4 linked regions of the Caenorhabditis elegans genome follow. The protein of the gene in region 2 purifies or fractionates together with the protein of the main gene of each other region. This does not show direct contact. Each region holds a gene or a part of one and is shown on either strand. Other genes may lie near its edges. The genes, in order: lin-54, hpl-2, lin-61 and tdp-1.

Region 1 (5,084 bases), on a different chromosome or scaffold from region 2:
TCAGCAGCTGATCGTGAGTACTCTTTGACCATTTTCGTCGGATCTGCAACGTATTTTGACCGGGGTCCTGAACTAGTCGATGCAGTAGCTTCTAATTGATCTATCAGATGATTCCGGCTTCGAAAATTTATTTCAGCGACTGGGCACATTGATTCACACGAGGCCATTTCTGAATGAAGCGAAAATATTTTAAAATAAAATAAACTGAAGAAAAAATTCATCAGAGCGCAGTTTCTCTCCACGCAAAAATCGATTTCGAAAAGCGACGAAGCACGAGTTCTTTTACCAGAAATAGATAACAAATGAATCCCAACACCAGTGTCTTTCGATACAAATTCTAAATTAGACGTCTTGCATGATTTATTGAGATATTTATCAAAATACACGCAGATAGTAACAAGAATTTATTGGAACAACAAAAACAAGTGACAGATCATTGAGCTGGGATCTCGATCTCTCCATTGGCGATCGACTCGATGATGTCGTGTGGGTGTTGTCCATCAATTGTGCATCCAACGGATTGGGCTGTTCCTGAAAAAATACAATATTTAGAAACAGTTTATCGTTTTCGAAATATTACCAAGGATCTCCTTGACGGTTCCTTCAAGTTTCTTGGCCATCGATCTTGGTCTCATGATTCTGGCGATCTTGATGATGGTGTCAACAGTGAGGTCTCCATTGTGCTTCACTGAAATGGAAACGTGCAAAACGTTAAACTAGATTGATTAAACAACCCGTTGGGACGAGACAACACCAAACCCAGGAAAAATCAAACTCACGGAGCATGAAAATCACTTAGGTTACTAGTCTTTAAGTCACAAACTTTTACAAACTTATGAAGTAAGAGACCAGGGGATGAGAGCATATCGACTCCCGACCCAACGCATTAAATGCGTACCGTTCTTGACCTTCTTGCGGTCACGTGGTGGCTCCTTGAGCTCCTTGACGATGAGGGAAGCAGCAGATGGGACAACGTCGATCTTGGCAACACGGTTCTGGATGGTCAATTTGCAGGTGACCTTAAGACCCTTCCAGTCTTGGGTGGCCTTGGCGATGTCTTCTCCGATCTTCTTTGGAGACAATCCAAGTGGTCCGACCTTTGGGGCAAGAGCGGAGGTGGCTCCGACTTCTCCTCCGACGCAACGGAGGTACACTGAAAAGTGAAAATGATGCAAAAGAGTTTTTCAAAAATCACGATGATGAAATCTTTGACAAATTGAAAATCACGCATAATACGTCAAATACCTAATTAAATGTGCACAAAAATGAGCAACTTACCGATCTTAATCTCAGTTGGGTCGAACTTTGGTGGCATGATGAGTGACGTCTACCAGGGATACCGGCGGTGACAAAAGTGAGAAAAAATTCGTCGCGAGGACTTGGCGCCGGCGAATTGACTCCGTATCACAATGGTTGTTGCGTCGCTACGCAGCGAATTGTCGATGTCAATTTTCAAACAACATTAACTGTGGAGCGCACTTGCATTATTTTTGTTTAATCAAATTTCGGCGCGCGAAACAATTTTTTAATCCTTTTTTTGGGTGTTTTTTAAATTTATTAATATTAAATCTTATTGAATTATTGATTTTCAAGAAATAAGTTACTAATTTAACATTTTTGAAAGTATTTAGACGGCGAAAAATGAAATTTTGGTTCAAAAAGGAACGTAAATAAGTTGTATTTCATCCTCAAAACGATGTTCTTTTTTTTTTGTTGGGAATTTTCTGGCAAGATAACTTAATTTCTTTTCGTTTAATCTCTTTCCAAATGCTAAAACATTGTTTTCCTGATTAGTTATTTTTCAGTATTTTCAGTGTTGACAATGAATCAAGGAGAAATCGTTTATCAAGACGACGATGATTATTACGACGAATCGGAGATATACGATAATTATGAAGAAGGTGCCGAATTTATCGAAGTTAATGGACAGCTTGTGCCTCATAATCCAGTAATTTGTTTTCAATTCGAAATAAAAATAAACTTTTCTCAGAACTTACAGGCGCAGCAAAATCGTCCGGGAACCTCGAGTATGATTCAACAGCATAATCGATCAATGGAAGTTAATCAGGGATTGGTCAAAGACGAACCAATTGATACATCATCGCATCGCGTCTACGTCCCCCCTCCGAGACCAGTTCAGCGAAAAGTAATTTTAAAAATTTTCGATTTTTTACGAATTGACTAACCTCTTTGGAAGCTTTTTCAGCCTGGGCCCAGCACTCCCGGATCGTCTCAGTACACTGTGCGGAATTTGTCCAATTTATCGGGTTCACCTTCAATGTACGATCGACAGCCCGCTTCATTACGTTCGTAAACTAGAGATCTTTTGTCCTAATAATTATTTTATTTAAGCTAGAACAGTGCAACCAATGGGCTTGGAGATGGGAAATTCTGAACAGCGAAAAGTTTACATCGATATGAAAGATCACGTTAGTCATATTAGATTGAAAACTAAAAAGTAAAGAACTCAAATTTTGTAACTTTTCACTAATTCCTCTATTTTTCAAGAAAAGTATTTGCACCTGGCCAGCGGAAACCATGCAATTGCACGAAATCTCAATGCCTCAAGCTCTACTGTGATTGTTTCGCCAATGGAGAGTTCTGTCGTGACTGCAATTGCAAGGATTGTCACAATAATATAGAATACGACAGTCAGCGTTCAAAAGCCATCCGTCAGTCACTTGAGCGAAATCCGAACGCTTTCAAGCCAAAAATTGGTATTGCTCGTGGAGGTATTACCGACATCGAACGTCTTCATCAGAAAGGATGTCACTGTAAAAAGAGTGGTTGTCTGAAAAACTATTGTGAGTGTTATGAAGCAAAGGTTCCGTGTACCGATCGATGCAAGTGCAAAGGATGTCAGAATACTGAAACATACAGAATGACAAGATACAAGGTGCAATTTCCTATAATTCAGTTTAAAAAATGGAGTAACGATTCTGGATTTTTCGAACGTATAGGCTAACAAATGTGCTCAAATTAACAAGTTTTGTTTGGCAGTTCAAAATTCCGAAAAAGGCTAATTTTGATCACTTTTCCGTGTCCCAGCGGTCGGAAGCTGACTTTTTTTGAATTATCATCTTTTATTGAATATTTTGGTATTTTATCTGACGTTATTTCATTGATTAAGGTACATTTAAAGCTGATCGGTAACCAATTTCGATCATTTTTGGTCACCTCTCGGCCTTAAATGTACTTTAATTGATGAAATTTTTAAAAAAACGTTAGATAAAATACCAAAATATGCAATAAAAGATGATAATTTTAAAAATGTCAATTTCCGACCGCTTCGACGCGGAAAAGTGGCCAAAATTGAATATTTTAGCTCAAATTTCACCTTTTTCAAATTTAAAAAAATCATATTTTGGATCTCTATACGTTCAAAATACCGCAATTCTTGCAATAAATTTAATTTCTTATTCAAATTTTAATTTCAGAACTCCGGTGGTGCCGTGTCCAATACGAATGCCCTGATGTCATTGACCAACGCTTCCAGCACAGCGACTCCAGATTCTGGTCCGGGAAGTGTGGTGACCGATGAGCATGGAGACGACTACGAGGATATGCTTCTTTCGCATAAACCGAAGGTCGAGATGGATCCTAGACGCTTCCCGTGGTACTATATGACCGATGAAGTCGTTGAGGCAGCCACTATGTGCATGGTTGCTCAAGCTGAAGAAGCTGTTAGTTGGAAAATCAATTGGTTTCCTATTGAATTTAATTTTTTTTCTTTGCAGTTAAACTACGAAAAAGTGCAAACCGAAGACGAAAAACTCATCAATATGGAGAAGCTTGTCCTTCGTGAATTCGGCCGCTGTCTCGAACAAATGATCACAAACACAACTGAGCTCACACAAGATCTTGATGCCGCTCCAACGGATGACATCCCAGGACCATCTACTAGTACTTCTTAACTATTCGCATTAAAATTATTATCAATTTTATCACAGTTGCGCGATCTTTTATGATCTCACCTCTCACACATTCTTTGCCTTCCTCCCCTCCTCTCAATGCTTTTACAGATTCACAAGTTGCCTTCTTTCAAAGTTGTCAAATAAAAAATGATCAGAAAAATTTGTTTCATTTTTACTAACTCACCTGCGTCTCTTCAATTTTAGAAATTATTGTGTTATATTTATGAAGTTTTGTGTCTTTTTTTTATTATTTGGCAGCATAGTTGCACATTTGTTCCCAGCAAAGTAATTATTTCGAGAAATGTTTGATTTTTTGATTCAGAAGTTTAAATTAAATTTTAATTGCGTATTGTGCGCCGAAACACGCTCCTATTTTAAACAAAGCTATTCAGGAGTGTTTCGGCGCACAATATGCATCGCTGGTCTGCGATTAAAATTAAAATTAATTTTTATTGTGCAAAAAATAATTAAAATGCGAATTAGTACACCTTTAAAACCTAGAAAATTTATTAGAAATGTCAGAAAACGAGCTGAGCGCCGAGGACACTGCATTTCTGGAAAAAGCCTTCGAATTGGCTCAAGAAGCTTTAGATGAAGATGAAGTTCCAGTTGGATGTGTATTTGTGGTCAATGGAACAGAAATTGGAAGAGGTCGGAATCGTGTGAACGAGACCGGTGATCCGACAAGGCATGCTGAGATGGTAGCAGTCACTGAAATGTGGAAAGAGCACGGAACGGGCTGCGAGGATCTGCTCAAAAAATCCACGCTCTACGTTTCCCTGGAGCCCTGCATAATGTGCTCGTCGGCAATGTATCAGCTGGGAATTCGAAAAATGGTGTATGGAGCCGAAAATCCACGATTCGGAGGTGTACGGAGTGTTGGAAGTGCGGAGAAGTACCGAATGGAGGATAATGTGCAAATTGTGGCTGGAATTTGGTCGGAACGATCTGTCGCCATGCTGAAAACATTCTACGAGAAGCTTAACCCATTTGCACCGCCTGAAAAGCGGAAAACTAAAAAACCAAAGTTAGATGAAATTAAATGATTTTATTAATTATTCATTCTTGTTTAATTTCTCGATTCTATGGTTACTAAATGCGCCATATATATCTGAATTATTATAGTTCCAATTGAGAAAAAGTATTAAAAAATCGATTTTTCAGATGTCT
Region 2 (6,379 bases):
TTGATTAAGAAGAAGAAGAAGGAGTCGACATCGAAACAAGCAGCGCTGGAAGCGTTCGTCACTGTGGACAAGCCACACGATTGAAGTTCTTCTGAGCCCCCGACCGCCTCTCGTGATTTTCCCCCGTTTTTAGGTCCTTCATTTTTTTTATGGAGCCCCATTTCCCCTTTTCTATGCTCATCGTTCCCCACAATTGTATTATTTATGACCTCGTATAGTCCCATTCTTTTTTCAAACTCCCCGTCCGTATTTATTTCCCCACACAATTTCACTTCTATTACTTTTCTCTGACAATAAATTTTTTTTTGTCAAATTTTGTTTCTCTTTCGACATCAAGGAACTTTCAGTTTAATGATTTAGTGGGTTACTGTAGCTCTTAAAGGCGCACTCATTTTTTACGGGCGAAATTCAGGTGTTTCTAGGAAGTCTGTTTGCCATCATATTTTATCAGATTTTTTTGGCCGAAAAATTTGTTAGTCGATGCACCATGAGTTTTGTTCTCGATGTTCTTCATTTTTGTGGGATTTTCTGCAAATGCAGAAAATTTGTCGATGCACCATGAGCTTCTCAGTGTTTCTAACATATTTTTTATATATATTTCTAAAGAGATTTTTGTTGTACTATCCATTATATAAAGATAATGTTCAAACTTTATATAAATCGGATTTTCGAAAAAAAAAAGAAACAGCGGAGATCAAATAATTTATGAGTTTCTTGGGAACAAGAGACTGTCATCATCGTCTGGTACAGTGTCGACAACGATCGGACACGGTGGCGGGCTATTCGAATTGTCATCGAAAACGGAGAGGATGGCCGCCTCGTGAACTTCTCCATCGCCAGAGTCTTCAAGGAAATCTTGTGGGAAGCTGGAAAGCAGATCTCCATTGGCCGCCATGTGCATATCATTGAGCATATCGGCCGCGGTTTGCTGAAACTGAAGAATGGTTTAAGGAAGCACGTGGAGTCATACAGTCCCTTTTCGCTTTGATCTACGAAAAATGCGGGAGAAGAGACGCAGACATCTTATCTGATTTTGCATGGTTAAGAGCGTTCTGACGTCACATTTTTTCTGGGAAACAATTCCCGCATTTTTTGTAGATCAAACTGCAATGAGACTTTCTGACACCACATGAGGAAGGCTATTTTTTTGGCGAAAAAATCCCGAAATTTACAATTTCTGACATTTTTTTATTTACTAGAGATCGATTTTTAAACGAATTTCAGGAATCTCTTTTACAAATCTATGTTTTCCTTTTTCTTTGAAAAATCGATACATAGTGTTCTGTAGTTCTTAAAGGCGCGGCCTCAAAAAATATTTCGTTCGTGGTAAGACCCCTACCGCTTCAGTCATCTCAACGTCCTGCGATATTTTCGATTCCTTCCTACGTTGCAGCTCGTGTTCTTCGGTTGTCTGGAATTAAAATAAAAATTTTGAAAAAAATTTCAAAAATTGTTTTTTATTCTAAAATTAAAAATACATAATTTTGTTCCAAAAAAAGTTTCTAAACTACTTTTTCCTTAAGAAGAATACCTAAAAGAATTCAAAATTCGCAAAAAATTAGTTTTTTCTCAAAGATTTAAAAACAGTATAGTTTTAAAAAAATTTCTCAAAAAAAATGTTTTCCCAAAAAAAAATTTTTTTTAATTAAAAAAAACATTTTTCGAGAGGTGTTCAAATTTTGGACCTTGTGTAGAGACTGTTTTTTGGAAACATTTCAGAGAAAACTTTTTTTTTTCATTTTTCTCAAAATTTTCTCCTTCTAAAACTTCAAATTTTCTCACAAGAATTCGATGTCCCGGTGGCATTTCAGGCCACTCATCATCTGCATCATCTTCCTCAATCGAACGCTTCTTCTTTCCCTCGGAAATCCGTTTGTGTCGTCTCTCCATCTTTTTCTTCAGAAATTCGCCGTAAGCGTCGACGAACGGGCGGTATCTGTATGGAAAATAGAATGTCGAATGTAATGTGTCTCAAGAAATTTTTATTGATTCAATAATATTTAGTCTCGATTTCAGGGGTTAGCACAAAAATTGGTATAGATTTTACAAGATAATTCAAAAAGAATATGGGAATGAGATGAGAGAACATGATATTGAACACGTGTATCGGGGTGGGGAGTGATTAAAGCTCGTCGGCTTTTGGGTCTTGGATTGTTAGCTTGGATTCGTAGTATCTGATAACTTGGCTCGGATAGCTGAAATTTAGAGCTTTTTTAAATGCCAAATTGAGGTTCGCTTCCTAGCTAAAAACTCTAGCGCCGATCGGGATTTCAGTTTTAAATACGCAGAATAGTCAGAAAAATTTTGAATGTTTGAATTACCGCGCCATGGTTTTTATCAATTTAAACGCAATTGTTCCGTTTTTCCTCGAATTTCTTAGTGAAAAAGTCCAATTTTTCATATTTTTCGTGGTATTTCGGTATTTCGGCACTTATGTGCAGTACAGCCGGCATATTTTAGAGTGAAATCCCCATCGACGCGTATCACGAGACCACAAGATTCTGAAAATGCGTATCGCGCAAAATATCTCGTAGCGAAAACTACAGTACAGTAAATACAGTAAATTCTGTAGTGCCTGTGTCGATTTACGGGCTCTATTTTCGAAATCATATTTTTTTGATTTACCGATAGAATATTAAAATTAAGCAAAAATGCCACTATTTGAACAAAAATCCATTTCAAAACTCGAGCCCGTAAATCGACACTACAGTAGTCATTTAAAGAATGACTGTAGTTTTCGCTACGAGATATTTTGCGCGTCAAATATGTTGCGCAATACGCATTCTCAGAATTTTGTGTTCCCGTAATATTTTTTTTCGGATACTTTTAAAGTTTTTGGGTGGAGTGTTTCCGTAATACACTTTTAATCAACCGGGAGCAATTCCCAAACTCACCGACTGTTCACCTCCTTCGCTGGAAGAAGCCGTGCCGTGTCATCACTGAATTTGCACAGAAAATGAAGTTCCCCAGGTCCCTTGGTGAGCCCGACAATGCATTTTAACTGCTTGCCTTCCAGTGAGAATTTGTCATTTTGATTCGTTTCCTTCTTTTCATCTTTATCCTCTTCTGGATCCGCTTGATCTTCGGAAGGTTCGGGCTTCTGGCTGTGTCGTTTGCGAATTGGTTTCTCTCTCTGTAAAAATAAAATAAGTTTGTTGCAGAAAAATCGGATTTTATGACTTTGTAATTTTAACTCTAAAAAACCTAATTTTAGTTAAAATCTTCAAGTTTACCAGCTTTTCCGTGTGAAAATAGGAGAATAATCGAACAAAAATCTAATTTAAACAGTTGCAGCACGGAAAAGTGGGCAAAATCGAAGATTTTTCAAACAATTTTCACTATGAAATTCGCTTTTTAGGACCATTTCAAGTAAAATAAACTTTAAAAAATTCTTCAAAACCTTTGAAAATTCCCTCTCAAACTCGTCCAACATCTCGACGCACTGGAGATTCTCTCTCGGCTCCCAGCTAGAGTCAGACTCGGGGAATCCTTGCCACTGTATGAGAAATTCGTCTCTGCCGGCTTTTCCAGTTCGCTTGTCCAGCACTTTTTCCACCATGAACACGTTGTCCTTCTGGAAATCAGATTTTTGAATAAAATGTGACTTTTTTTTTCTTTGTCGGGGAACTTATACTGTCGCTTTGTTTCTAGCAAAATTGGATTTTTTATGCAAAAATAGATTTTTTGTTGCAAAATTGTTTTTTTAAAATATTTTTTTTAGTGCAAAAATTGATTTATTGTTTTTTTGCAAAATGGACTGTTTTTTGGTTTTTTTTCGTTGCAAAATTGTATTTTTTAGTTTTTTTTGTTGTAAAAATAGATTTTTTGGTTTTTTCGCCGTTCCATACCGGATCTTCGATTTTTGCTCGCTTTGTTGATTTGCTCGACATTTTTGAAATTGCTGAAATAAATTTGAGCTAAAATGGGAGAAATCTGAAAAAACATAGAAAAAATATGGAATAAAGATTCGAACAATATCTTGAAATTAAAAAAAGGCTCGAACAAGAAAAAAAATCATATTTAGTTTACTCACAGACAATCACCGTACAGAAATATTTAAAAAAAAAATAAAAATTATCAATCTTTTTCAGCATCATCATCATCACTCTCAGAGTCATTTTCTCCACCTTCAAGCCCTTCCACATCCTCCATCATAATCTCCTGTTCCTCATCGCTCTTCTCCTCGGCTTCTGGAACATTTGAGTCGTTTTCAGGCTCCTCGGGCTCATCTTCGTGATCATGATGATGGTGATCGTCGCATTCGTGTGGTTTTTCATCATCGTCACTATCTTTTTCTTCTTCCTGTTTCTCGGCTTCTTGCTTCTGTTGTTGCTTCTTCCGTTTCAGGTAGGTTAGGAGCTCTGAAAATTTAAAAATTAATTTTTTTTTGCCACATTTTTCGAGCTACTATCTTGTGAATTTCGCAAGTTTTGGATTAAAAGCGCGGTTTGTTGCATGTAAATTTACGAAGGATTTTGTACTTCACCCGGACAACTGTGAGTTATTGGCTGAAATTTACTTTTTTGAACTATTTTCGCTGATTCTCTTCCAACATTCCAAATTACCAAAGAAATGAGTTTTCCAAAAAGCAGAAAAAGAGGCGGAACGTAATTTTGCAACCAATTTTGCAACCATGCGGCACGGTTTTCCTTTTTCTTTTTTGGGGTTTTTCCATAAAAGTTTCGATTTTATTCCTTTTAATTCACATTAGATTGGGAGGATATTTCAAGCTAAATTGGTTGTAAAAATATGAACTATAATCGAAATGTTATGCGAATTAAATTTGATTTTTTTCTCGTAAAAAAAAATAAAACAGGAAGAATCGAAGTTTTTTGGAAAAAAAAACCAGAAAAAAAACCAAAAAAAAAAACAGTGGAAAATTGTCGAAAAATCGTGCCGCAGAGTTGCGAAATTAGGCTCCTCCTCTCTTTCTAGTTATAATGTCTTATTATTGTCCAAAAAATGTGAAAAAAGATTCACGCTTGTCCACGTGCAGTATCCTCCGTAACATGTAAGTATCAAACTGCGCCGAAAAACCTTCCAAAACTTGCGAAAATCACGAATTAATCGTTCTATTTCAAACCTTTTGCGGTATTCATAATATTCTCAGTATTCTGCTGACATATTGGGCATTTTGACGACTTTTGGAACGATTTCAACGCACAACCGGTGCAAAAGTAGTGCTTGCATTTTGTCACGATCGGATCAACAAATGGATTTCCGCAAATAAAACAATCCTCCGGAAACGTATCGTCGCCTTCATGAATCTCGTAATTCGCATCGTCTTCAGCACCATATTTTCCTGCTTCGTACTCCTCATCAATCTCCCATCCGTGTTTATAGTCCGATCGGTCGTGCACAAATTTACACGAATCTCCAAACGTACAGAATCCAGTCTCCTTGTAATCCTTGCAAATATCCGGTGCAAAATCCCAACGGACTGTTTGTCGTAGAAATTGTGGCGCCCGAACGGGCCCAACTCGATTATAACCACTTGCAGCGTTTCCCTTGGCCGTATCCTTCGCCTCTTTGGCTCCATACAGTGCACTTCCCTTGTACAGAATTTTTCCGTCTTTCTCGACGCCTTCCTTCAGTTGCTGTTGGACTCGTTCGAATTGAGCCTGGGCATCGTGTGAATAGTCTGTGTCCACTTCGAGTGTTGCAGTGGCACCTTGATCACGTGGTCCAGATGGACCGGCATCTCCTGAAGCGGCGAACGAGTGAGTTGCTACTGCGATATCCTGATTGTCGTCAGAGTCGTCAGAATCATCCGATGAATTATCAGCACGTCGTGTTGAGGCGTCTAGTTGTTTGGTCTGAATTTCAAAGTTTATTGGGATTTTCCAAAATTTTGGAGCACTAAAGTACCAAGATCTCACCGACTGGACCATCGGATTCGTACGACGTCGCTTTTGAATCACATCCTTCACTTCTGAATCTTGATCCTCATCACTTGAGCTTTCCTTTTTACGAACGACGGGTGCATTGCGCTTTTTCGGTTTTCGGAAGAGATCCATTATCTGAAAAATTAAAACTATTTATTAAATTCAATTAATTAATAAAGCTTCAAATCTGACAAACGAGAAATACAATAAAACGGTTCAACATTATGAGAGGAAGATGAATCAAACAATAGAGCTCTACAGCCGAAATTTTTGGCGCCATGGAAATCATTTTTCAAATTGTCTCCAATGTGCAAGATTTCCGAGGGAGAAATTAGATCGAAATGGTTGACAACTAGCTGGAAGATCTTCTCATCGGGCTTTTCGTACCCAATTTCGCCGGAGAGAACTGTCATGGAGAAAAGATCGAGTAAATTGAATTGAGAAAGTAGAGATTTCAAGCGACTATCGAAATTGGAGATGACAACCAGGATGAT
Region 3 (5,156 bases), on a different chromosome or scaffold from region 2:
GGTTTGAAAAAGCCAAACTCGATTTCATCGTCATAAACTAAAAATTAAAACATAAGTTGTTATATTTTTCGATAAACCCACTATCATTAAACATTGTAGCTGGTGAGGTTTGCGTCACTGGAGAAACTAGGACAATTTCGGGTTGTACTTCAGATTCCTCAACTTTCTGAGATTCTTCCGGTTCGGCTGCCTCATCGTAAACAACATTCAACCCATTCGACACTTTTTTCGGACGCTCCTGTGTAATGGTCATTGTCGGATCAGGATCACAGAGCACGGAAAAGTCAGTAACTATCTGCGTAGTAGCTAAAGATCTTTCTGGAACGAAGACAGAATCATCGCCAAGGACCATTGTCTTTTCGCTAGCAAGATGTACAGTGTCGGAAAACATAGCATGTGCCTCCAAACACTTATTTTCCGCCATCAAATCCAATCCAGCTCCACTCTTTGATGTTCTTGCAGAAGCAGTTGAATAGTTGGAAGATATGCTTGTGGAACGGTCTGGAGGGTTACCATCTTTTCTGCCGGCAGTCATAATCTTGAGTCTTTCATCATCATCTGCATCATCGGAATCACTAACATCTTTCTCCGAAGCAGACTTTGTATCCGACGAAAGTGTCACTGTCGCTGGAGGATTCTCAATTTTGCTCCGAAGTGCAGGTCTGTGAGCATCCTTCGTTGCAACCAGCGGCGAATAAATCCGGCTTCGCTTTTCCTCCTCATCATCAACCGTTTTCTCACTGACTGGTGAAAGATGACGTCTTCTAGGATTTAGATTGGCGTTGAATCGGTTTTCAACTTCTTCGCGGGCTTGTCTGTCGGTATCAATGACTTGATGTTTCACGAAAACGACACCAGAGTCTTTTCGTTTTCGGTAATCGTCATCAACATCTTCTCCGAAAGTGTCCTTCCATTTGGCAAAACGAAACTCCTCAATCGATATTCCATGATAGTTTGGCCTGTCGATACACGCCTGGCGAAGATCCGTTTTGGCTGTAAGTTTCCAATGAGAATAATAACTTTTTTTCAAACTTACTTTTTGGTCCAAATGCAGCTTTTCCCGAGTTATTTATAGGCACATTGTGTTGCAAAAAGCAAACCGAAGAGCGACGCTTTTTCTTAGAACCCGCATTGAATCTGAAAAGATCCATAGTCTCATCCGGTCGTGTGAACATATCTCCAGATTCTCCATTGAAGTATTCATCGACCAAATCGCGAAATCCCGATTCAATTGCTGTCATTTCTATTCTTTCGGAAAGACGATCTCGTGCCAACTTCAGGACATCTTTGAATTCCTCCAGCATTTGATCTTTTCCACATTCTTCTGCCCATTGCAGATAGAACTTCAGCGAACCAGTGAAATGATCCTTTTTGAAAAGTTGTTCATAAATGCCTCTTCCCTTCAGGTTTGTACTAGATCGACCCATAACTTTGTAGAGACGGAGCATCGCTTCGTTTTCACGAATTTGATCAAACTTTTGCTCCCGCAAAATTCTCCTAACGCAGTCGTATAATTCCGCCTTCATTTCCTCCGCGGTCATCATTTGAGACAACGTTTCGATTTGCCTGAAAGTGGTGACTATTTAAAATACAAGATATACGGAAACTTACGTTGCGAACGTCTCAAGACCACATGTCGACGGATTGGTGTCGAGTGGAGCGAATGCCACTCTAATGTGGGACATAACTTTCTGAAATAATCTGAATAACAAGTTTTCAAAGTAGAAAGGACGCGAATAAAAAAATCATCGGTTCACGAAAATTACGGAGTTCATTGGAGACGTGAAATCCCTCTTTCTCCTCTAAATTTTAGGACCTTCGAAAACAAGAAATGGATATAAACGCGCGCGTCTTTTTTGAAAAGCGAGTCTTCGCGGGCCTGCTCGATAGAGCGCGTTTTTCGCTGTAGTTCAGTGACGTCACTCTCATGGCTACGTTCTTTTGAATCTGGAGAATTGCGCACTACTGAAAATTGGGCGGTGCTTTATTGCTATAACTGAAAATTGATTTTAAAGCTATTTGAAATTATAAAAAAACAATTTTTTAAAAAGTGTTTGTATGCAATTGGAATTTAATTTGAAATGTTACACTTTTAATAACACAAAAAGCCCGCCCATTTTTTCGTAGTCCGTTCGTCACTAGTTTCGAAATCGACGGATCTGCATTGAGTCTCTCATTTCTTTTTTATTATTTTTCAAACATTTTCTCCATTTTCCTGTTTTGTTTCTTTTTTTTTTAAAGCAAAATGTTTCGAAATAATTGAAGTTAGCGTGGCCCAGTAGTCTAATTTGTCACCAGATAGTTAAGAGTGTTTTTGTTCGTCCGAAAAGTTAGTTCCCGAACATCAAAATGCTAAAATTAGTCATTTTGTGCTTCGCGTTGTTCTACAATACAGTCAGTTCGACAAGATTTCTGTTTGGCGTCGAAGTTAAGTGTGATTTTGATGAAGTGTTCCAATTAACAGTGTCGCATTGGGAAGACGATGGCAATACTTTTTGGGATCGCGATGAAGACATCACTGGACGTATGACTATGTTTGCTCGAAAGAAAATATTTTTCTATCAGGACGGCCATCATGGATTTGAATTTGGAAAGCTCGAGCCTTATGGGTGGTTTCTGCACAATTGCACGAAAAATGGAAATTTTCGCGAGTATAGGCACGGGTTGAGTAGCACCAGTGGATCCAATGGGTTGGAGTATATTGAGTACACTGTGAATTTGACGAACGCCTGAGAAATATCAAATCAAATCGAACTAACTTTCAATTTCAATAAACATTCTCTCTAATTACGTTTTAAACCAGTCTTAATTTCAGATGTCTGAATTTCTGAAAATTGTCAGAGCTAACAAAAAATCGGACAGAAAACTCGATAAGACCTACTTGTGGGAATCCTATTTACATCAGTTCGAGAAAGGAAAAACTTCTTTCATTCCAGTTGAAGCATTCAATCGTAACCTTACAGTTAATTTTAACGAATGCGTGAAGGAAGGAGTTATCGTGAGTTCATATTGTTCGTAAATCGGTTTTAAAATACAATTTTTGTAGTTCGAAACAGTGGTCCATGATTATGACAAGAACTGCGATTCGATTCAAGTCAGATGGTTTGCACGAATTGAAAAAGTTTGCGGATACAGAGTTCTGGCTCAGTTTATCGGAGCTGACACGAAATTTTGGCTCAATATTTTATCGGACGATATGTTTGGTTTGGCAAAGTAAGTTGGACGCTCAGCTCTTTCTACTATTCTAAATAAATAATGGTTCTGTTACATAAAATTCTAGAGAACAATCGTATTAAAACTTCGAAACATTTGTATAATAGTAAAATTTGAACATTTCAGCGCCGCAATGAGTGATCCCAATATGGATAAAATTGTATATGCTCCGCCGCTTGCAATCAACGAAGAATACCAAAATGATATGGTAAATTATGTAAATGTAAGTTTGTTTTTTTCCGAATTTATGTTAATATCATCTCACAACTTCAGAATTGCATTGATGGCGAAATCGTCGGCCAAACTTCGCTGTCTCCAAAATTCGATGAAGGGAAGGCTCTCCTAAGCAAGCATCGTTTCAAAGTTGGACAACGTCTTGAACTATTAAATTATTCCAATTCTACTGAAATACGCGTAGCGCGAATTCAAGAAATATGTGGACGACGAATGAATGTATCTATCACAAAGAAAGACTTTCCCGAATCGCTTCCAGATGCAGATGACGACAGACAAGTCTTTAGCTCTGGATCTCAATATTGGATAGACGAGGGAAGCTTCTTCATATTTCCTGTTGGATTTGCAGCAGTCAATGGATATCAACTAAATGCGAAAAAGGAATATATTGAGCACACAAATAAAATTGCTCAAGCAATAAAAAATGGAGAAAATCCAAGATATGACTCAGACGACGTCACATTTGATCAATTAGCAAAAGATCCAATTGATCCCATGATTTGGAGAAAAGTTAAGGTTGGACAAAAGTTTGAGCTCATCGACCCCTTGGCTCAGCAATTCAATAACCTCCACGTCGCTTCGATTCTCAAATTTTGCAAAACTGAAGGATATCTTATTGTGGGAATGGATGGTCCAGATGCACTTGAAGACAGTTTTCCTATTCATATCAATAATACATTTATGTTCCCAGTTGGTTATGCGGAAAAGTATAATTTGGAACTTGTTCCGCCAGATGAGTTCAAAGGAACATTCAGATGGGATGAATACTTGGAGAAAGAATCTGCAGAAACCCTACCGCTTGACTTGTTCAAGCCAATGCCTTCCCAAGAGAGATTAGACAAATTTAAGGTAATTCTGATTTCCAAACGGGTTGTTTTATATCGTTTGAGATTGTTTCACTATTAATAGTTATTCATAATTGTTTCTTGTTTTAAGGTAGGACTACGCCTTGAAGCTGCTGACATGTGTGAAAATCAGTTTATTTGTCCAGCTACAGTGAAATCAGTTCATGGAAGACTGATAAATGTCAATTTCGACGGCTGGGATGAAGAATTTGATGAACTGTATGATGTGGAGTGAGTTTATCATGACCGAACGACATTTTTTCAATGAAAATTCTATCATTTCAGCTCCCATGATATTCTACCGATAGGATGGTGTGAAGCGCACAGTTATGTTCTACAACCTCCGAAAAAGTACAACTATTGATAAAAGCTACATTAACATAATTTCATTCGTATGCAGGATCTCTTATATACACTTTCCCGTTTTGGATTGGTATTTCCCTTATTTTATTTACTGTGCTATCATTGGTGACTCTTTTTGCACCTATCGAACATGAATCTTCAACATTATTTTTCCGTTTATGGTTTCTTTTGTATCTTTTCTGCATGGTTATCGCCATTTTCTTATCTATTTAGTATTAGTGGTATCACTTTAAACATTCTACCAGTTTTATGTTGAATGTTCTGAAAATATTAAGCGTTTTGGTTTCAGTTTATTGTATCATGGCCTCCGAAGACAAGTTCGAGTCGGTTCTATCAACTCGTTACTGTAAGAATAGTCCACTTGTTTCGATCCTCTCGGAGACTAATAAAGCGACTCTTTGGAGACAACTATGGATTTGGCTCGCTGAAGCTGAAAAAGAGCTCGGTCTTAAACAAGTTACTCAGGATGCAATTGATGAGATGAAATCCAATAGAGATGTA
Region 4 (4,648 bases), on a different chromosome or scaffold from region 2:
ATCGAATATCTAAAAATTTCAGATACGAATTCAAAAAGGAAGGTTCAAAAGCAGCGCTTCTGGAGTTGGGTCCTCGATTCACATTAAGACTTAAGTGGCTACAGAAGGGTACTTTCGACGCAAAGTGGGGAGAATTCGAATGGGTCCTCAAGGTATGGATTTATTTAAAATTAATTGAATGAAAATTATTAAAAATTTCAGAGACACGAAATGGAAACCAGTCGTCGTCGTTTCTTCCTCTGATTACTATTATTCGTTTTTCAAAGGTTGCAAAAAAATTCGAAGCCCCAATTTTATCCTTACTAAGGTTTTTGAAGTTTTGAACAAATATCTCAATCTCTCCCATGCAACCCTATCATCTTTGTTACTGCTTTTATTTTGTTGTTTTGTTGATGTTATTGAATAATATAATTTGATGCAATTTTTTTAAACTGTTACCTCTAAGGTTTCTGACCGATAATTATCTATTCTGATGATATTTTATTATTATATATATTCGCAGAATTTATTCAGGTTCTGACCATGTTGGGGAACAAATTCGTTGCTCAGTTGGCTCTGCAGCACCTCCGCAATCGAGGACTCGTCAATTCCCCATCTCGTCTGACTTTTGTTCGGTAAATTTTCTTTCCGAATAGTATAGATTTATTTTTTATTCTAGAAATCGATTTGCTTGGGGATCTGATGCTGTTGGTCCAAATGTTCCAGTTGGAGGAAAGATGGGAGCTTCGGAGAATCCAGAATTGCACACCTATGATGGAGACTACCGCGGTACCATCTCGAAGGGGGATAAGCCAATTCCAGATTACTTCTACCGTACTCCAACAACTGGTCGAACCTACATCGATCGTTGTGTAACCTATTTCATCTCAGCTGTCATTTGGGCGTGGTTCTCGTACCACATGTACTATCATTCTGGCCATCTCTTGGGACATTGGTACATGCCATACTTGAGCGAGTTCACGGATGAAGAGCTCGGAATTCCAAAGGATTCTGCCGAAGATCCAGAATACTGGGGCAACCACAAGAAAGAATATGGAACTTATCGATAAATAGTTGACAGAATGTTTTTAGTTCATTCATAGTCTCATTCTTCTTGAAACGACTTGACTTTTATTTTTAACCGTTTCCTGTATGCCTGATTGTAATTCAATAAAGTGGCTTCGAATACGAACATTTTAAAAATATAATTATTTATTTCTAATCTATAACCAAATAACCTAAACTATTCCAAGGTCCGGCACATTGTCTCGTGGACGATAAACTCGCTCTTCTTGGTAGGAAAGAACCTGAAAAAAGACGAATGAAAAACTATTTCGAGCGGAAATTTAGTCTTACAACTTGTTTTTTCGCTTGAAGAGTAGGATCTAGCCTTCCTTCTTGTTCTTGTATCTTCCACATAAACCGATTTACTGGATGTTTGTCGCCTTTCCACCACCTGAAATAAGTATTTCAGTTAAAAATGAATCAATTACAATGTTTTATTACCGGACTCCAACATTGTACATTACTATGTAGAGAAGCGTTGAAGCTACAATTGCAGGACCAGTTCTTTTCATAGGATATGACAGAATTTTGTGGAATCTGAAAGTTAATAATTTTAATTTTAACGCTGGTGAACAACACTTACTTTATTTTCCAATTGGCTTTCCCTGTCGGTTTTGAACTCATCACCACATTTTTGTCACCTTCCATGTTTGAATAATAGTCAATTGTCAAGTTTCAGAGAATAAAATGATCATTAATGGGCAAAAGAAGGTTTTTTTTGTAATTCAGAGACGCCTAGTTTCTGAGAGGTACGGTGTGAAAATGTGTGCATATGTGCGTCATGGTGTTTGCACACCATTTGTGTAATTAATTTACAAGATTTTTGCTCGGAGATTTTTGGCTCAATTTATTGGTTTTATTGATTAAAAATAGATACAAATAATTCATTATTTTAGTAAATTTGTTATTATTTCAAATATATCTGTTTCCAGTCACTAAATGGCCGACGAAACGCCGAAGGTTAAAACAGAACCTGCGGCCGAGGTTAAATCACCCTTGGATGAAGTTAAGGAAATTCGAAAAGAGGCAGAACTGGTAAGTTAATAATAATTCGTACAGTTGCTAATATCCCATGTTCATGTTTTCCAGACACAAACTGGGAGTGACGAAAAGAAAACCACGGACCCGGAATTCATCACAGTACAAGATCCAAATGGAGATGAGCCAATAGAACTTCCTACCGTTGATGGTGTTGTCTTGATGACTACATTGCAAGCATCGTTTCCGGGTGCTACTGGTTTGAAGTACAAAAATCCAAAAACTGGAGCCAACCGAGCTGTTCAGTGAGTGCTTGGTGGAGGTATACTGACTTAAAATTTATTTTATTTTCCAGAGTCGATCCCAGTGGTTTGAAATTAATTGCTCCAGCTGACGGCTGGGAAAATAAAACGTTCTTCGTTATTGTTGCCCCGCGTAAGTTGTTTTTGTTTTATATTAACTAGTTTCACCAAAATTCAAGCTTTTGAGTAGAGACGGTTTATGTGACAGTCTGAGTGAAGACGTTCGAGTGACGTAGTGTGATTCAGAGAGCGAGAGAGTCAGAGCGTTGTCATCAGCTGACGCGACGAGTGCGAAGAGACGTAAAGTGGGATCGAGTGACGACTCGGATTCGGATGACGGTCGTGACGGACGTTCGGGCAGGAAGAGAGCGGTTGAGAGAGACAGCCAGCCAGTTGACCTCATCGTGCTCGGTGTGGACTTCAAAACGACTGACGAGTGCTTTCAGAAATACTTCGAAGATATAGGAACTGTTGTGTTCTGTGAGGTTCGTGAGATGAGTGAAGGAATCTGAAAGTGAGAGAATTAAGTTCACATAGGTTCCATTAAAAATACATATTCAATATTCTTCTTCAGATAAAACGAAAGTCGGATGGAAACTCAAAAGGATTTGGATTTGTCAGAATGTCATCAGTCGGTGAACAAAATAAAGTATTAGCTATCCCACAGCACATGATTGATGGTCGTCGTTGTGATGTGAAAGTTCCAGATGGAAGGGTATGTTATTATACTGATCAATTAAAACTAATAAGTTGAGCAGAGTTTGCAGGACAAACAAGGTCGTCCATCAATCAGTCGAATTTTTGTCGGAAGGCTCACAGACAAAGTAGACGAACATCAACTGCGAAAAGTGTTTGGAGATGAAGCAAAAAGCTATATAGAGACTGCAGTAGTTACCGATGTGTTCATCCCAAAACCATTCAGAGGCTTTGCATTCGTTACGCTGTCGAGCGCCGAAGCCGCGGAAAGAATTGTCAGGTATTGCTAATTTTTTGGAAAACCTGTTAAAAATAACTGTCTCCGGTGTAGCATCACTTTTAAGCACTCATATTTTTCATTCTAGTAAGAAATATAATTTTCAGCAAAGGATCGCTAACTGTCAACGGTTTATCAGTTGGATTGAGCATCGCACAGCCTCGAGAAGAGAATAATCAATCAGTTGGCCCTGATTATGGCCTTCCAGCTGGCTACCGTAACCGCAGAGAACGTGATCGACCGGATAGACGACCGATTCAAAATGAAGCACCTCTGCCCATGCCATTCGTCCGCCCACCACAAGATTACTCATACCGTCAGCAAAATTCTCCCCTCGAGAGGAGATACTGGGCACCTGGAGACTCGAGAGGACCAGGATGGTGATTCTCTCGAAAAATCGTTATTATTCATATTTTTCTACACTTTTCTCAATTTTCTTGTCTGACAATTTGTCATTAGTATTGTTCTCTCACATTTACTAGACCCCTACAATTTTCATGTCGACGCACTTTGCGATTTTATGCTGTATTTTTAATAATGCAATTCTACAATCTCTGAATAAAAAACCTGAAATTAAATCGACTAAAAAACTAGTTCATTCTCAAGAATTGGTAAGACAAGAGGCACAAAAAGTTAGTAAGTTTCCGAGTATTCATTGCACAACATCTCAGAAACGTACTCCGAATTCACAAAGTATGGCGTCGTGTTCACAGAATTCTGGGCAACCTCGGAACTCGTGTTCACATATTTCGGCAGAAATGAAGCTTCAACTTTTTTAACGGCAATATGTTGAGGAACATCGAAAACGAAAATCTCGGACAAAGCATCAAGTTGGTACTGTGATGGGACACGAGCCAAACGAACAGTATTCTCTGCTGGCTTATAATTCAAATCAGCCAATTCATAATAACTTTGTGGACCATCACAATTGACACGTGTAGTTTCTGGATAAGCAATGGTGGATTGTTCAGTGATCCATTGACTTTGAACACTTTCAGTTTCTCTCAAACAATCCTCCCAACCATTATCCGATTCGGCACCCGTGATGACGTCATCAAAGCTCGACTTTTCATTCTTCTCAATTTCCAGAAGCATCTAAATTAAAATAATTCTGTAATTGAAAAGGATAAAAATATAAATCAACTTACCAAATTTCGTTGAATATTATCCATTGAAGTTGAAAGTTGGCTGCATGATCTCGAATCCGTTGATTTTTTGTGTTCCATTTCAATTCAATTTCTAATTCAAAGTTCGAAATAATTTATTTATAATCATTGAAAGTTTATTTGGAAAAAAAAAACTAAATTTTAATTTCTAAATTTATATTCCACGCGGTTTTAAAAAATTGTGT

The links.
Region 1: the proteins of hpl-2 (region 2) and lin-54 purify together in Caenorhabditis elegans (affinity purification with western blotting, with the first as the bait; one study listed by BioGRID). This does not show direct contact.
Region 3: the proteins of hpl-2 (region 2) and lin-61 purify together in Caenorhabditis elegans (affinity purification with western blotting, with the first as the bait; one study listed by BioGRID). This does not show direct contact.
Region 4: the proteins of hpl-2 (region 2) and tdp-1 purify together in Caenorhabditis elegans (affinity purification with western blotting; one study listed by BioGRID). This does not show direct contact.

The regions. Positions count from the first base shown.
Region 1 is NC_003282.8:13,239,246-13,244,329, forward strand, and holds lin-54 (Protein lin-54), read left to right. Parts: upstream 1-1,805; 5' UTR 1,806-1,822; coding exon 1,823-1,948; intron 1,949-1,990; coding exon 1,991-2,146; intron 2,147-2,197; coding exon 2,198-2,306; intron 2,307-2,352; coding exon 2,353-2,458; intron 2,459-2,508; coding exon 2,509-2,896; intron 2,897-3,437; coding exon 3,438-3,683; intron 3,684-3,737; coding exon 3,738-3,914; 3' UTR 3,915-4,156; downstream 4,157-5,084. Other genes in the region: tag-115 (SAC3/GANP/THP3 conserved domain-containing protein), read right to left, coding at 1-167; rpl-12 (Large ribosomal subunit protein uL11), read right to left, coding at 434-531, 581-688, 899-1,153, 1,279-1,315; JC8.4 (CMP/dCMP-type deaminase domain-containing protein), read left to right, coding at 4,430-4,960; cox-11 (Cytochrome c oxidase assembly protein COX11, mitochondrial), read left to right, coding at 5,079-5,084. UniProt on the Caenorhabditis elegans protein: Synthetic multivulva class B (synMuvB) protein. SynMuvB proteins are required to repress the induction of vulval development by Ras signaling and probably act by forming the multiprotein DRM complex that repress transcription.
Region 2 is NC_003281.10:10,751,621-10,757,999, forward strand, and holds hpl-2 (Chromobox protein homolog hpl-2), read right to left. Parts: upstream 3,902-6,379; 5' UTR 3,891-3,901; coding exon 3,849-3,890; intron 3,575-3,848; coding exon 3,401-3,574; intron 3,134-3,400; coding exon 2,895-3,133; intron 2,196-2,894; coding exon of another isoform or gene 2,123-2,195; exon of another isoform or gene 1,971-2,122; intron 1,937-1,970; coding exon 1,783-1,936; intron 1,412-1,782; coding exon 1,340-1,411; intron 935-1,339; coding exon 704-934; 3' UTR 634-703; downstream 1-633. Other genes in the region: enu-3.6 (ENhancer of Uncoordination), read left to right, coding at 1-84; rnf-113 (putative E3 ubiquitin-protein ligase rnf113), read right to left, coding at 4,078-4,361, 5,084-5,816, 5,880-6,017; K01G5.10 (Haloacid dehalogenase-like hydrolase domain-containing protein 3), read right to left, coding at 6,056-6,379. UniProt on the Caenorhabditis elegans protein: Seems to be involved in transcriptional silencing in heterochromatin-like complexes. Probably does not act as global transcriptional repressor, instead targeting a subset of genes. Involved in RNA processing mediated by Tar DNA-binding protein homolog tdp-1.
Region 3 is NC_003279.8:7,248,476-7,253,631, reverse strand, and holds lin-61 (Protein lin-61), read left to right. Parts: upstream 1-2,349; coding exon 2,350-2,712; intron 2,713-2,815; coding exon 2,816-2,998; intron 2,999-3,046; coding exon 3,047-3,213; intron 3,214-3,339; coding exon 3,340-3,436; intron 3,437-3,486; coding exon 3,487-4,296; intron 4,297-4,383; coding exon 4,384-4,523; intron 4,524-4,577; coding exon 4,578-4,656; downstream 4,657-5,156. Other genes in the region: Mitotic checkpoint serine/threonine-protein kinase bub-1, read right to left, coding at 1-37, 82-993, 1,037-1,566, 1,612-1,685; adsl-1 (Adenylosuccinate lyase), read left to right, coding at 4,956-5,156. UniProt on the Caenorhabditis elegans protein: Synthetic multivulva class B (synMuvB) protein required to repress the induction of vulval development by Ras signaling. Unlike other synMuv proteins it does not associate with the multiprotein DRM complex and the NuRD-like complex.
Region 4 is NC_003280.10:8,995,851-9,000,498, forward strand, and holds tdp-1 (Tar DNA-binding protein homolog 1), read left to right. Parts: upstream 1-1,974; 5' UTR 1,975-1,983; coding exon 1,984-2,079; intron 2,080-2,133; coding exon 2,134-2,327; intron 2,328-2,377; coding exon 2,378-2,457; intron 2,458-2,560; exon of another isoform or gene 2,561-2,570; coding exon 2,571-2,809; intron 2,810-2,898; coding exon 2,899-3,039; intron 3,040-3,082; coding exon 3,083-3,300; intron 3,301-3,404; coding exon 3,405-3,681; 3' UTR 3,682-3,872; downstream 3,873-4,648. Other genes in the region: Brix domain-containing protein F44G4.1, read left to right, coding at 23-152, 202-243; ndub-2 (putative NADH dehydrogenase [ubiquinone] 1 beta subcomplex subunit 2, mitochondrial), read left to right, coding at 523-614, 659-1,049; F44G4.3 (uncharacterized protein), read right to left, coding at 1,218-1,286, 1,336-1,435, 1,486-1,581, 1,628-1,692; F44G4.5 (uncharacterized protein), read right to left, coding at 3,931-4,392, 4,446-4,523. UniProt on the Caenorhabditis elegans protein: RNA-binding protein which regulates transcription, splicing and RNA-editing. Limits the accumulation of double-stranded RNA by maintaining the abundance of the mature RNA transcripts that are formed from double-stranded precursor RNAs.